2 linked regions of the Alligator mississippiensis genome follow. The protein of the gene in region 1 interacts with the protein of each later gene in a biochemical or structural test. Links are inferred from orthologs where the notes say so. Each region holds a gene or a part of one and is shown on either strand. Other genes may lie near its edges.

Region 1 (6,925 bases):
CACAGGCCATGATCCCCGCTTCCCCCACAGCAACACAATGTGTTCCCAGCTCCAGCTGCTGCAAGGTGCACCCTGAGATATAGCCCTGAGGCGGAGATACCTGCCTGAGTCTGCAGAGAGCCTAGCTTCCCAGCATCCCTGGACAGAGTGGGGGAGCCCACTTGGAAACTTAATGATAATTCCAATGCCAACAATCACATTAACTCTTCCACTGCTGAGCAGCTTGGCAGAAACAGCCAGCTGTGCTGATTGTATGTCACTCCTCCAATCTACACCCCCTGCAGCCCTGCACAGCCCACAGGCACCTGTCCCCTGGTACCTGCCATCAACATCAAGATCTGGGCTGTAGGATTACCCCCTATAAGTAGCCCACTGTGCTGCATGAGCTGTCAACTGAGCAACAGAGCACCAAGCCAACGCAGTGTAGCCTTCCAAAATGCCCTGCTCTCTCTGTGCTCCAATTTCCCCATCAGGACCTCAGGGGCATTGCTAGTGCCAGCATCGAGCTGCCGGAAACAGTCCTGGTGCTAAAAGAACAATGAATTATGCTGTCGGGGAGGCCTGCTCAGGGCAACCCAGTTCCATGACCCAGGAGGCCGAATGCCCCCCATGCCCACCTGTTTCAGGCAAGACAAGGACCTCAGCCACAGCTTTCTGCAGGGAGTGTGCCTTCCCTGCAGCAGTTGCTCTAGCCCTGAACTCATTTTCTTCAGCCCTGACCTGTGGCACAGTTACCAGGCTCTGCTTAGCAGGTCAGAAACTGAGGGGAGGAGAAGCTGTTGCGAGACCTGAGGACCCAGGCAGAATCGCTGGGCACTGCTCAAGTCAGCTCCCTGGTCTCAGCAAGGCTCCCTCTGGCAATCAACCTACTCACTTTAGCTGGCAAGCAGCAGGGGCAGAGCCCAGGGCCCAGATCACATCCAAGGCCCCTCCAACTCTCAAATGCAGGCTGGAGCACCTGGCCAGGCTCCCTGTACACAAGGGCTGCAGTCACACAAGTGTCATCCTGCACTAAGGGAAGGATCAACCCCACGTGGGAGCTTGGGGGAGGCAGCAAGTGGAGGGGGTGGGGCAGAAGGACACCCCCCCCCTTTCCTCTTTCCCCTGCACTGTTTGTAGCTGCGCCAGTGGATTGTCAGCTGCAGAGAAAGATTACTTCCTCCTGGGAGAATTACCTCCTCCAGCGGCAGGTTAGCACTGAGCTGTGCCAGGAAGCGACACAGACCCGATTCCCCACAACCCTTCTCCTGGGATGCAGCCCAATCCAACCCCTTAAATAACTCTGCAGATAAACAGAGCACAGACCCATGCTCTCGTGCCTGGCACCCAGGGGGCATGCAGCAGGGAAGGCAGCTCTCCCCAGACCAGCCCAAAGTCTACTCCGCACCATGTGACTGCTCTTTGGGACAGGGACCGTTCAGCTGCCTGGCCTGCACAGCACTTGTCAACCCCAATGCAGGACAAGATCAGAACCCAGCCAAACAGTAATGCTGCCAGCAAGAGGACCCCGGTGCCTCCAGCCACGGGTCCAGCAGAAAATCCCCATGGCTCCTGCTTCAGATCCCCAACACTGTCAGCTGCTGCACAGGCCCAGCCTCAGACAGATCCGATTAACTGTAACCACATAGAACTGCTCCCCTGCTCACGGCCGTGTGAACCCTGCTGGATTCATTTCAGAAGTGCTGTTATGGGGTTTCCTCTGCTTATCAGGCCAACAGCTCTTCCTTCTCCAAAACTTCATCCTAAAGAGGCAAACCCTCCTTGCCCTGCACCCTGCCTATCTGTCCACACCTCCCCAACCAGCACAACCACAGAGGGTGACAGGGTTCCCCGAGTCATTGCGCAGGCACCTCTGGAAAGCAGTGTCAGGCCATTTAAAGATCATGCCAAGCCGGGGAAAGTGACACACCAACAAAAGCGGCACTTCGAAACCTTCAAAAGCACAGAGGCCCCGTATCGCCACACCCACAGCCGTCGCTCTGGCCAAGGCAGAGCAGCAGGAGCTCCCCACCGCTTAACCTCACGTAACACCAGCAAAAGGGGAAGCGTGCTGAGGCGCAGCAATGGCTCACGGCTGGACGGGGCCTTAAAGGGGGGAGGGGGGGGGAATAAAGGAGCAAAAAAGTTCTCTGCAAAAAGTGCTTAGCTGGGAAAGGAGAGCCAGCTGGAGAAGCACTCAACCAAGGCACTCCAATGCATTGCAAGGTGTTTGCATGGAAATTAAGGGCTTGATGGAAAGCCTGGGATTTCCCGGAAAAAGGGCTACTTATACTTACCCTCACCCCAAATTCCAGAGGAGCCAGAGGAGGGGAGACCAGAGGAGGCAGTGGATGAAGGGCGGGGTGGGGTGGGGGTGAACCAAACACTACCACTGAGAAGCCCCTGGAGGCTATTAACCACACCAGCACCCCCCACCCCGCCAGGATGCAGCCAGGAAGGGGAGCATGGGGAGGGGGTGACAGCTGGGAATGCGTAGCCACAACCTGCTGCAACAGTTGGGTGCGAACACTTGGGGCTTGGGGGAGGGGGGCGCAGGACAAGGGGATCAAGCCACGCATGCTCCCCCGCGGAAAACCACCCCAGCCATGCTCACTCCCCCCTCCCCCAAGCAGCACAATAGCAGCGTGCCTCCCCCCGCCTGCCCCCCAGCCCCCCCATCTATGGTCACAACGCCTGAGTGACCGGAGCAGCGGGCCCTGTCACTTGGGGAGAGGAACCTGGGCTGCATTTGCAGCAAATCCAAACAAACTGGCAGGGTGCAAGTGGGGGGGTCTGCAATGTGCGCTAGGATGTGGAGTCTGGGGGGGAAAGGAGAGAGACTCCCTCTCCCCAGCCTCACCCCGCAGGAAGCGCCCCCCCCCCAGCGCACCCAGGGGAAAGTTTGCGAAGAAGGCGGGCGGAGCCGGGAGTTACCTTGCAGAGAAAGGAGCGGGCGCCTCCCCGGCCCTGCGCGACTCAGGCACCCGCGTGGCGTGCAACCCGCGGCCGCATCGTGCCCAGCCCAGCCCCGGGCCTCGCTCCGGCGGCGGCGGCGGCGGCAACGGCGCGGGGCAATGGGACGCGGCGCTGGCGGGGCGCGCGCTCAGCGCGGGGCGACAGCAGCCATTGCCCGTCATGTGCTTCGGCTGAAACTTTACACTGGGCGGGGGGGAACGGGCCGCGCGGGGACACGCCCCCTGCCCGCAGCCAACCAATGGAGAGCGGGGGGCGGGCCCGGTCGCTGCCGACTAACCCTTTGAAGTGTCTAGACCTCCCGAGGGGAGGGGAGGGGAGGGGCTTCTTAAAGCGGCAGCTCATTTTTTTTTTTTTTTTTTTTTTGAGTGGGGGCGGTGAGGGGGGAGTTGGGGAGGGAGGGAGGGACGTCTGGTGGCTCGGGCTGGGAGTGTGGACGCTTGGGTTCACACCCCAGCTGGGCCCCTACACCTGAAGTCACCTCGCACCCTGCCTCAGTTTCCCTACCTGTCAAAGGGCCCCAGGAGGCTGCAGGGAGGATGCCCCTAAACGGCATCGGGCCCCTCAGCCACCGGGCCCCTCAGCCACCGGGCGCAGGAGACAAGACCCTGGTGTGGGAGCAGCTGGGCCCTGCTTTCCTAGCCCCGGTGCCCAGGAGTCAGCCAGTCCCCATCGGGGCATCTTGGGTAACAGCCTCCTTCCCGGCCCTGCGGGGACCCTGTGACGTGGCGCCCGTGTTAGCAGCGCTCTGGACTCCGTGACCCAGGAAGTCCCATCCCATCCCGTGCTCCTTCCAGCGCTCTGCCAGACGCAGCCTTGGCTCCCAGGTCAGGCCACGGCGCCGGTGCTCCACGCCCAGCCCCACGGGGCCCACTCCCCTGCACGCTGGAGGCCTGGGGGCATCTGCCTGTGCCTGTGCCCTCTGTGACATGGCTCTCCTTATCAAAGGAAATCCTCTCCCCTGGCCTTGCACGCACATGCGCTCCCTGCCCCTTATCTGCTCTTCGCTGGGTTATGCTCTGCTCCCACGCAGGAGGTGGGTTCTGGTGCCCTGCTCCTGGTACCAGCCAACTTCAGGCTGCAGACACAGAATCCAAGCCCAGTACCAGCTGGAGGAGGAAATGTCCCACCGTAGAGGCCCCTCTGCAGCAGAGATACTCAAAGCCCGGCCCCCAGCCGACAGGCTGAGCTCAAACCAGAGCAATGCATCTGAGACATTGAGGCCTGGTTGCCCTCTGGAAGTCACTGGGAGTTCCCAGTCATCCTGGCTAGTACCCATGGCGGGCACGGAGCCAACTGAGACGCGCGGTACAGACTGGTCCCACACCCCCACATTTGCCATGTGGAGCTTGGGGCAGGATCCAGTGTCTGCCCACGGCAGGCCCCAAGCCAAACGAGACTGTGAATCAGGCAGATGGTGCTTTGTAAGGGGTTAACTCTGCTTGACTGCGAAAGGGGAAGAAGTAAAGAAAAAAAAACAAATCTCTGTGTTTCAGTGCTGGCTACCTCTCCCCCTCTGAGAAGCTGGGCGCAGGGTTAAGGCACCAAGAGGCAGGAGAGGGTAGCCTCCTTCCTCCAGTAGCTAGGAGATACTGGTGCCTTGCGTGGCACCCTACCACCCCCACCCTGTACCTGCTTCCCACCCGCCCCAGGCTAGCCCCCATGGCACTAGGACAGCTGCGTTCTCACTTGTCTGGGCGCAAGGCGCACTGTTGTTCTTGTCTATTAATTGCCGGTAAGGGACCGGAAACTCAACTGAAGATGGAGAAGGGGGCGGTGCAGAGGCCTCAGCCCCTGATTGATGGGCTGGTGTCTCTACCAGGAGCCCCTAGGTCCCGGCTGATACATGCAGGACAGGGGGAGGGAGGGCATTTCCAGCAATGTCCTGGTCTGGCAGGGTGTGAAGGACTGGGGGTGTGAAGCCAGGTGCCTCACCCACTGCTACCCACCACCCACTCTCTGGGAGACAGCGGGTGACAAGGAAGAGGAAAGCCCCCTGCCTGGGTCTGAATGTGCTGGGCCCTGTGGGCTGAGGTCTGGTGCCCACAGTGGACCACTTAGCTAAATGCTGGAGGTGACAGCTGAGCCCACTGTCCAGGTGGCACACACTGTGGGCACTGTCATCGCCAGACAGGTGAGATTACCCTAGCGACTCCCTAGGTCAGTGCACTCTGCCCCTGCCCATTTCCACAGGAGATGGAGCCTGGCCCCAGTTCAGATCTCCACCCTGGCAACTCCCTTCCCTCCACTGAGACTCCCCCAGCCAGTTTTGCGGCCTTCTGGGCTCCTCACACTCTGTCCCAAGATATCACTGCATAGCCTCATTCCACACCAGAGGTGGCTGCATTTTACTGGCCAAAGAGAGACCCCAAGGCTCATGGGCAATCCATGGTACTGCATGCAAGGAACCTGTGCTGGAAGGACAGGACAGCGGCTGCAAAGCCAAGTGCTCAATGATGGTGGAAGGACAGTCGCATGCACAGGGGCTGACAAACGGGTGCGGGGCACCCTTAATTCCTTGCATTGCTACCAGCCCTGCCCACAAGACAGCCAGGGCAGACAATGGAGCTAGCAGCTGCAAGGAAGCAGGCTCTGCTACAGTCTAGGTTATGGTAATACCTAGAAGCTTCCACAGAGACCAAGCTTCTTCCTTCTCCTTGCACCAGCAGGCACCTACTGAGATTATGGTCCCGGTGGCGCTAGGCACTGCCCAGACTAAGCCTCAGCTCAAGTCAGGACCTCCATCACACTGTATACTGCTCTGACACGGAGTGAGACAGCCCTGGGCCCAAATAGCTAGAAGTCTAAACAGACAAAGGGTGAGAGTGGAAACTGAGGCACAAAGCAGGGCTGGATCCTTCTGGGTACCCAGTGTGGCTCACCTGGTCCTGCTGACACCACTGCATCTGGCTGGAGGGGCCTGCCCCTGCATCCTAGAACAGAGAGCCCAAGCCCCGAGCATTCAAAGACCCTGGAACCGTGCACTGGGGAGTGTCTGTTCTGCCCAGAACAAAGTGCCTGTGGGGTCCAGCAACTCCACACCCTGCCCTTGTAATGGAGCTGAGCCTGGGAGGGCCTGGCCTTCAGGAAGCCTGTACTCTGTCCGAGTCTCTGCCCAGCACCTTGCCCAGCTTATTCCAGCCCTGCCCCTCCATGACCCATCCCGCTTAGAGTTGCCCTGGGACAGAGCTAGGACAGGAGCCTTGGATGGGGCAATGCACTCTCTGTCCCCTTCCCTTGCCCTCCTCGCACTGACCCCTGCCCGATCCCCGCAGCACTGCAAGCCACGGCCTAACCATGGCACAGCCCAGCCTGTCCCAGCCCCATGCTCCTGCAGGGGAGTCCCCAACCCCCACCCTGGCCTGCATCTCCAACAGCACTCACCCACCCAGCATGCACCACCAGCCCTTCCCCTCCCCCAGCCCAGAGAGTGACAGATTTATCTTGTCCTGCAAAGAAAAGGCTTCTGGAACCTTTTAACCAGGCAGAGGGGCCCAGGAGGAGGCAGGGGCTGGATCTCACTGGAGTTCCCTCTGCCTGGAACTCGGCCCGCTACCCTACTCAACCCCCATCCTCCCCCCCAGCCCCTCCACTGGCCCCCACCCCCCAGCTTCCTCCTTGTACTCCAGCCATTCCTGTTCAGGGTTTTTTACTCCCTCATCCTTGGAGGATTCCTTGCCATTGAAACTCAGACCCCTTGTTAATTAATTGAGATCGCTGTGAACACAGATGCGCTCAGTAACAGCACCCTCAGCAGACAGCCCCAACCTCAGTGCCCTTTGCACTGGTAAGGAGCATTGTGCCATGTGTGCTGCAAATGCCATCCCTATCCTGCAGCGAAGGGAAACTGAGGCATGGATAGGGGTAAGCAGCTATAAGTTAAGTGCTAAGTGGCTGGGGGGGTGGGGGGAAGGCAAGGCTGGGGCTGGAACTGGAACCCAGGAGTCCTGCCCAAAATATCCATGCCCAAAAT
Region 2 (8,006 bases), about 55 Mb from region 1:
AAGGCTGGGGCTGTGTGTGCAGGTTCTTGCCAGTCTCCATGGGGCTGGGGCCAAAGGTGGCAGCAGTCGGAAGGAGCCACTGCCCCTTGGGCTGCCTAGAAGTGGAGTCCAGCCGCAGAGCTACCCCAGTCCCACTGCATACCTGGGACCAGCGGGACATGCCACAGGCCAGACAGCACATGGGCCAGGTGGGACTGAGGGACATGCTGTGGGTTGGACAAAGTTCTTCTGCAAGCTGTGTTCCTTTTTAAATTACTATAATGTTTTGGTGTTCCTAGGTTATGAACTTTTCCCTAGACAAAATGCATTTTACAGGTTAAGATGACAGCAAATTCTTCAAGTTCAGCAGTTCTGATATTGCCTTTCATGTCCCTCTCTCCAGGTCCCTTCATCCCAATATCCAGGTCAATATACAGCATTCATAAACTGCTAGAGAGTAGCTCCAGTTCCATCACACCTACCTATTAAAGATATCTATTTCATTCATTTCCATCACCACGTTTCTGGTTTTTTTTCAGAATGAACTTTTGTATTACAGAATAGAATAAACAGGCATTTACATCTACTAAGAAAGAGATTAAGGGAAAATTGGTTCAAGTAATTTTTATCATCCAATACACTACTGACAGTACTAAAGTTCTACTACAACATGCCTATTGCCTAGAAATGTATTACAGCTATGTCAAACACAAACTAGATCTCCATGATGAAAAGCACATTTGCTTAAGGACGACTTCAAGAGGTTCTTTATTTAATTCAAAATCAAAAAGGTTTAGCTAAATGCCTCATCTAAATTTAACCAGACTGATAGCATGTGGACACTACAAGTATGGACAGATGTAAAACTGAGAACACTCTAATTACCCTGTAAAACGCAAGAGTCTAGACATGCATGCCACATTAGACCAGTTAAAATTTCCTGGAACATTTCAAAAGCACACTGGGAAAATTATGTACTAATCTGATTCTCCTTGAACCAGTTTAGTGTTATGTGTGGACATAGAGCATTCTGTGCCTAGTGTCTGGTCAGTCCTCTGGACATCCCAAACTGCACCACTCCTCACACCCCACAAACCATACTAGGGCTCCTCTGGGATGCAACTATGACTCTACTGCCTACAGAAACAACAGTTCACAGGGCAGGGAAGCAAAAAGCCTCTGTATCAGTTTCAGTTCCATGCTACGGACCCTGGGCAGGGATCTCTGCCTTATCTGGGATGGTGCGGGGTGGAGGGGTAGCCAGGTTCTGGAGGGAGAAAGTAGAGGGCTTTATGGTTTGTGGCAAGCAAGGGGTGGTTGGGCTGTAACAGTAAAACACCTGTTAATTGCTGGGGGGAGGTGGTGGGGAAAGACCTCTATTGCCCAATGGGTATTTAACAGAACAGAATGGCTACCAATTCCACACTCAATGAGAAGTGAATTAGCCCATCAACTGTTAACTGTTCCACCGCCTCTGCCTGCACTCATGTACCCAGCCCTGCTTTCCAGGTTCCCCCTGCACACACAGCTCTATGCAACTGCTGGCAATGCAAGGTACTTGCAGCTTTCTAAGGAAAGTCCTTTTAATCCTAGTGTGAGGGGAGACTATGGGAAGTCTCAAAGCAACCAACTCTTTGGAATGACACGGAGGCCCTCCACCCTTTATCTTCCCCGACACAGACACACGGACATATGCCTGGTCACCCCCTGTCTGGGTACTACCACAGAGTCCCATACTGTGCAAGCAAGCCCAGGCAGGCTGGGCAGGTGAAGCAGGCAGGGGTTGCCTGAAGGCTGGTGCCCTTGCAGACTGCCCAACACAGAAACATCACTGAACTTGGAACTTCTAAGCCACTTGCTCCCCCCCACCAACTAACAGGTGCCTCGTGCTGCCCTCCATCTTTTTTTCCTCCCTCGCAGAAGCCCTTTCCTTCCTCATCTATGCCAAAAAGTGAAACCAATCTGTGAAGTTTGACAAATAAAAAAAGAAACAAAACACAAAACCCGGAGGGGCAATAAAAGAGCCATTACAGCACAGTTTGATTCAACTCTCACAGCTTACCTTTGCTTTCTGCCCTGCAACTACAGGTCAGCACGAAGTCCGCTGCATGTTTCACCCACGCCCCTATTGGGGAGGGCATGATCTGCCCAGCCCTGTAACACCACGCCCTGCTCCTTACCAGGAGCTCCTGCTGCAACCACCCTGGGCCATCTTCACACCCTGAACCAAAAGGGGGGTTGGGAGGACGACAACTCTCCGAACATATATATGCGTCTCGGCCTCTTGAAGGCTCAGATCAAGTGTTGTATGTGCATTGCATCCCTCAGCCCACTGCCTGCTTTGTCACACACCTGCATCCAGGGTAAGGACAAACCTGGTGGAAGCAGAGCAGGAGCTGTGCCTTTGAAGCGTAGGGTTAAAACAAGCTTGCCCTGTTAAGACCCACAGGCTGCCGGCAGAGGCAGGAGAACCTCGGGGCAGCAGGGGGAGGGGCGGGAGGCTCAGAGGCCGGCCGCCCCTGTGGGGGGAGGGGAAGGGGGAGGCTGCCCGCCTGCAACCACGAGACGCCCCTGGGGGGAGGGTGTCCCGGTGCCCTCCACGCCTGTCGCGACAGCACGTGGCGCGGCCCCGACGGCGACGCGCGAGCGGCACTTACCGGTCGTGCAGTGCAGTGGCGAGGCGGCGGGCGGCGGGTCGCGGGGGGCGGCGGGCGCGGGGGGCGGCAGCATGAGGTAGCGCTCGGGCAGCGGCAAGCAGCGCAGGCAGAGCGAGTGCAGGCAAGGCAGCAGCTTGGGCCGCCGGCTCTGGATGGGCTGCCCGCACACGCCGCAAGTGTCCAACAGGTTGAGCGGCGCCGCCTCGCCGCTGCGCTCCGCCGGGCCCTGCCGGCTCTCGGCCTCGTTCTCCCCGCTCAGCGCCGCCCGCTCCCCCCCCGCCGCCGCCGCCGCCCAGCTCGGGCCCCCCGCCGCCGCCGCCACCGCTGCTGCCTCCATTGTCCGGCACCAGCCGCCGCGTCGCACGAGCCGCCGCTGCCCCGCCCCCGCCGCGCGCCGCCGCCACCGCAGGGTTTGTTGTCCTAGCCCGGGAGGCGGCTGCACCCGCTCAACATGGCCAACGGCCGCCCGCGCCCCGCCCCTCCGCCCGCTTCAGCCAACCCGCCGCCGCGCCCCGCCCCCTCCGCCCGCTTCAGCCAACCCGCCGCCGCGCCCCGCCCCCTCTGCCGCCCCGCCCCCCACGCCAGGGTCTCGGCCCCGCCGGCTCGCCTCTCCCCGGCCCAGCCCCCCTCTGCCGGAGTCAGCCCCGCCCTCGCTGCTCCGCCCCGCCGCTCGCTCGCTCGCCATTCCGGCGTGGCCACGCCCCCTTCGCTCAGTAGCCACGCCCCTTTTGGCCTAAGGCAACACGGTCCCGCGGCTCCTTCTTGCGCGCCGCTTCTCTCAGCTGGCGTGTGATACCCCCAGCTCAGGAGCTAGGAGGGGGCGGCGGGATCAGTGTGTGCCAGACTGATCACAACTCCATGAAGTTGCTTGCCCATCAACTCCGCAGGCATATATAGACATATAAACACACACACATATGTGCATACATAAATACACATATATACACACATGTACACACACATACATACACACACACACACACACATCCTATCTTGTAAGCGAGGCTCTGACACCCTGCTACCCGCTTTTCGTGTCCTTCTCGAGCTGCCCTCAACACATACCCGAGGTCAACCTGGAACCCCCAGTACCCCTGTCAGCCCAGACACATGGCTAGCCCCAGTGCAGAAGCTGTAAACGACACAGGACTAGTAGTGTCTTCACAACAGTGGCTTACACAGGCCTCTCCTTGGTTTGGATTCCTCAGGTCCAGGATTGATACTACTGGAGCATAATCTATAACTGATACTAATAGTGTCACACAATACAAAGGCAAATTTGTATTTTTTTAATACAATTTAGGAGGTCAGATCTGATTCCCTGTCTGGCTTTAACAACACAAGGACCAGCACTCTCCTCCTCCCCTTCTCTTCCTCCTCCTCCTCCTCATCTCTCCTGATTAATATTAATGAGAACAATGTTACCCAGCCCATCTGCCTTCTTTTCTCCAGTCCTGCCACCTCCTCCCAGCTTTGCCCAGAGGCAACAACAGAAGGGTGGAGCCTTTAGCTTCAGTTATTAATATGCATATGGCTAGCCAGGCTCACCCTCTCCTCCCCACCCCCATCCCCTGTTAGCTTCCCTTTATAGGAAGGGTGGGATTATACTCAGACTATCCAGGACAGGAAGAAAAAGCTTTAAGGAGGCACTGGGAATAGCCCTTACAAAATAACTACCCGCTGAGCATAGAACTGGAATCCAGTGAGGAGAAAAACCCGTTAAGGAGGAATTGCAACAATGAGAGAGAGAAGCAACCAATTCATGCTGTGTAGTCTCTTAAAAAAATGTTTGCAATTTATTTTCACATGGACCTAGTGCAGAAGAGGTAGAACATACCAAGACTACTGTGACTTCCTCAAATGTGTATATATCTTACTTGGCCTACAAAGGGGATATTCATCCTGCTTCCTCAAATACCAACATTATGAAAACAAAACCTTCACAGAAATTAATAAAAACATCTTTACATAAAGCAAGTACCAATATATGAAACAAGAATATTATTCCATAGGACAATAAACTAAAAAACCCCACTATCTTACCAAAGTGTTTCACAAGCAATTGGTGCATTAAGAGAAATAACCAACGTTCAGGTTGCAGACTGGGGCAGCAACCATAGGAAACAGGTCAGATCAATTGTTGTGTCCACTAAATATGCAGCACAATTGCACTTTTATGAGTTGGGATACTGAGTAAGAAAATGTTACTCTTCTGTTACTGAACTTCATTTATTTATTGACTGATTGACTGATTTATTTGGTTTAATTAGATTTATAAGCTACCCTTCCCCAAAAAAGGGGAGGTGGGAAGGGGAAAAGTTCCAAAGCTGATTTTTCTGTCAGTAGATATCTTCATGGCTCTTCTGTTCTTTTGCTTCATAATTTCTTCAAACGGTTGCTTCCTTATTTGTAAGAAGTAGCAGGACCAAAAGAAGGCAATCTGGGATCCTAAGAAAACCATGACAAGGGTTCTCCATATTACTATCTCCATGCTGCAGTCCCAATCCTCTTCAGATAGCAGTGGCAGAGGTCACCCATGTCAGAGGTGGCTGCTGGACTTGTAAGGATTTTCTTTTTACTCCCTTTTGGGCAAGCTGAGATTCCCTTGTTACAGGAGCATCAAACTTACCCGGCCCCACAGACCAGATGAGTTTGGTGGGACTAGTCTGCAGACTGGATCAGACCCACAGACCAGCCCCACATTCTGATCTTGTTCCAACCTCTGTGGGGCTGTGCCATAGGTGACTGGTAGGGGGTGCACAGGGGTGCCCATGCCCACCCCCAGTGGGGCCGGTGCCCCCCCTGACAGCCAACACTGATGCTATTCGTAGAGCTGGTGCTCCCCGACAGGGCCACTGCCATCAATGGCTTCTGCGGGTGCCCCCCCAGACTCAGAAGGCACCAGTCACTCATGGGCTGTGCTGCACCATTCTGGAGCCATTATCATGTGTAACATGGCTCCAGAGCTATACAAGGCTGCTCTGGGGTTGTGCTGCCCTTGGTGGCCACTCTATGGGTATCATCCAGGGCCATCCAGTGTACCCTGCACACTGCTTGTGAGTCACTCCAAGACTGGGGCAAAACTGGGTTCCAAATGATGCACCTCTATGAGCTGGATATGGTCTGCAGGCTGGATCTCAGCGTGAGGATGCTGAGGGTTTTTGGCTGATGTGATTGCAGAGCCACAGGGCCTTTATCTTTGAAAACTCACTGTGATCAGGGGAGGCCCTGGTCTATTGGAAAAGGGCAAATCTAGTGCCCATCTTTAAGAAGGGGAAGAAGGAGGATCCAGGGAACTACAGACCAGACTGCCTCACCTCAGTCCCCAGAAAAATCATGGAGTAGGTCCTCAAGGAATCCATTTCTAAGCACTTGAAGAAGAAAAAAGTAATCAGGAACAGTCAGTATGGATTAACCAAGGGCAAGTCATGCCTGACCAACCTCATTGCCTTCTTTGATGAGATGACTGGCTTTGTGGTTGCAGGGAAAGCAGTCAACGTGATATACTTTGACTTTAACAAGGCTTTTGATACCATCTCCCACAGCATTCTTGCATGCAAGCTGAGGAAGTATGGGTGGATGAATGGCCTGCAAGGTGGAGAGAAAGCTGGCTGGATCACCAGGCTCAATAGGTAGTGATCAATGGCTCAACGTCTAGTTGGCAGCCATTATCAAGTGGATTGCCCTAGGGATTGGTCCTGGGGCTGGTTTTACTCATTATCTTCATTAACTGTCTGGAAGATGGGATGGATTGCACCTCAGCAAGTTTGCGGATGACACCAAGCTGGGAGGAGCAGTAGATCTGCTGGGGAGTAGGGCTAGGATTCAGAGAGACACACTGGAGGCTTGAGCCAAAAGAAATCTTGTGAGGTTCAACAAGGACAAGTGCAAAGTCCTGCACTTAGGACAGAACAATCCCAGGCCACAAAGTCTAATGCGAGAGGCAAGAATTTTTGTGGGTGATATTTTTTATTGCACCAACTGTGTGGTGGAATAGACATAGGCAAGCTTTTGGGTATCAGAGTACCCTTCCTCAGGCCCCTGGGATAGAAGCAGACACAGCAGAGTTAAGTAGCTGATGTAACAGAGCTTGTGTAAAACTCCGTATGTAAACAACAACAAGATATAAGAGAAATCAGGTTGCCAACAAGCAGGAGAGAAGCAGTAAAAACCTGATAAAGGAGAAACAAGAGTGTTCAAAAGAGTCCAAGGAAAACTACCCAACACTCTTACAAGATGGGCTTGGGAACAGAAATTAATTAGCTTTTGGAAACTAAGTATCAGGGACCTATCATAGACAATGGTTTAATGGCCCATTATAATGTACCTGATGCTCACTAACTTCTGTACTTCTTAAATGATAACTACCCTTCTGAAAACCGTTGTTCCTCCTTTATCAGGTTTTTACTGTGCTGTGGTATCGGAAAGCTTCCCTATGTCTATTCCAACCATGAGTTGGTCCAATAAAAGGTATTATGCACAAGAATTTTTGCGCCTCACATATTTCCTGGACATCACAGCAACAACATCGCCTCAACACTACCAACACTAAGTCTAATGGCATGAATGACAAAATGTAAATAGAATCTAGACCACCAAATATTAATGCAATGTCATGCTTAGTGCTTTCTCACCTCAGGAATCGTAATGCGTTTACTTGAGTGCCTGGATCAGTCAGACCTGCCATTCACTTTTCCTCCTGCTACACACAGGTCACATCTACACAAGACACTGACTGCTCAGTAGTTCATTACTACTGCACAGTAGCATCGCATGGCACAAAGCATGGCATGACATGACACTACTACGCAGTACTAATGAGCTCCTGCACAATCAGCATTACCTAAAACCCGTTTGGCAATGCTACTGTGCAGTAACTCCAGTTACTGCACTGTCATTTAGTACTTGTGTATGCAAGTTTTAAATGACTGCAATTACAACTGTACAATCAGTGTCTTGTGTAGATGCAGCCACAGGTTGCAGGCAGAAGTGCAGTTCCCTGCTGTAACATTTTGTAGGATGTGCTCTGAGTTATAATGATTCCTGGGACCAAACAGAAGTTCACTGTTGGTTCCAGGGGGGAAGAGACTCTGGCTGCTGGCTGGAAGACTGCAGCTGGTTTCCTCTAGCAATGGCCCCTCCTCTCTCCCAGCCTATTCCTGTTTCAGAATGGGAGGGGGGGAAAGGGAGCAGAGAGAGCTCATTCCAGGGGTTCCCCAGCTAGCGCTGGAAAGTGGAGTGGGTGAATTGGAGCCCCTGTCACCTCAGGGGGGCTCCAATACACCTGCCCCATCCTCCAGTGGGGACTGAAAAAACCCCAAACCGAACTCTCTCTGCTTCCTTTCTCCCCCTCCCATTCTGAAAACAGTGAGA

What was found.
Region 2: the proteins of RARA (region 1) and TRIM24 form a complex in vitro, tested with the Homo sapiens proteins (3 studies listed by BioGRID). The link is inferred for Alligator mississippiensis from reciprocal best matches to the Homo sapiens genes RARA and TRIM24.

The regions. Positions count from the first base shown.
Region 1 is NC_081827.1:164,453,437-164,460,361, forward strand, and holds the start of RARA (retinoic acid receptor alpha), read right to left. Parts: upstream 3,103-6,925; 5' UTR 2,914-3,102; intron 1-2,913. UniProt on the Homo sapiens protein: Receptor for retinoic acid. Retinoic acid receptors bind as heterodimers to their target response elements in response to their ligands, all-trans or 9-cis retinoic acid, and regulate gene expression in various biological processes.
Region 2 is NC_081827.1:109,071,941-109,079,946, forward strand, and holds the start of TRIM24 (transcription intermediary factor 1-alpha), read right to left. Parts: upstream 3,081-8,006; 5' UTR 2,974-3,080; coding exon 2,637-2,973; intron 1-2,636. UniProt on the Homo sapiens protein: Transcriptional coactivator that interacts with numerous nuclear receptors and coactivators and modulates the transcription of target genes.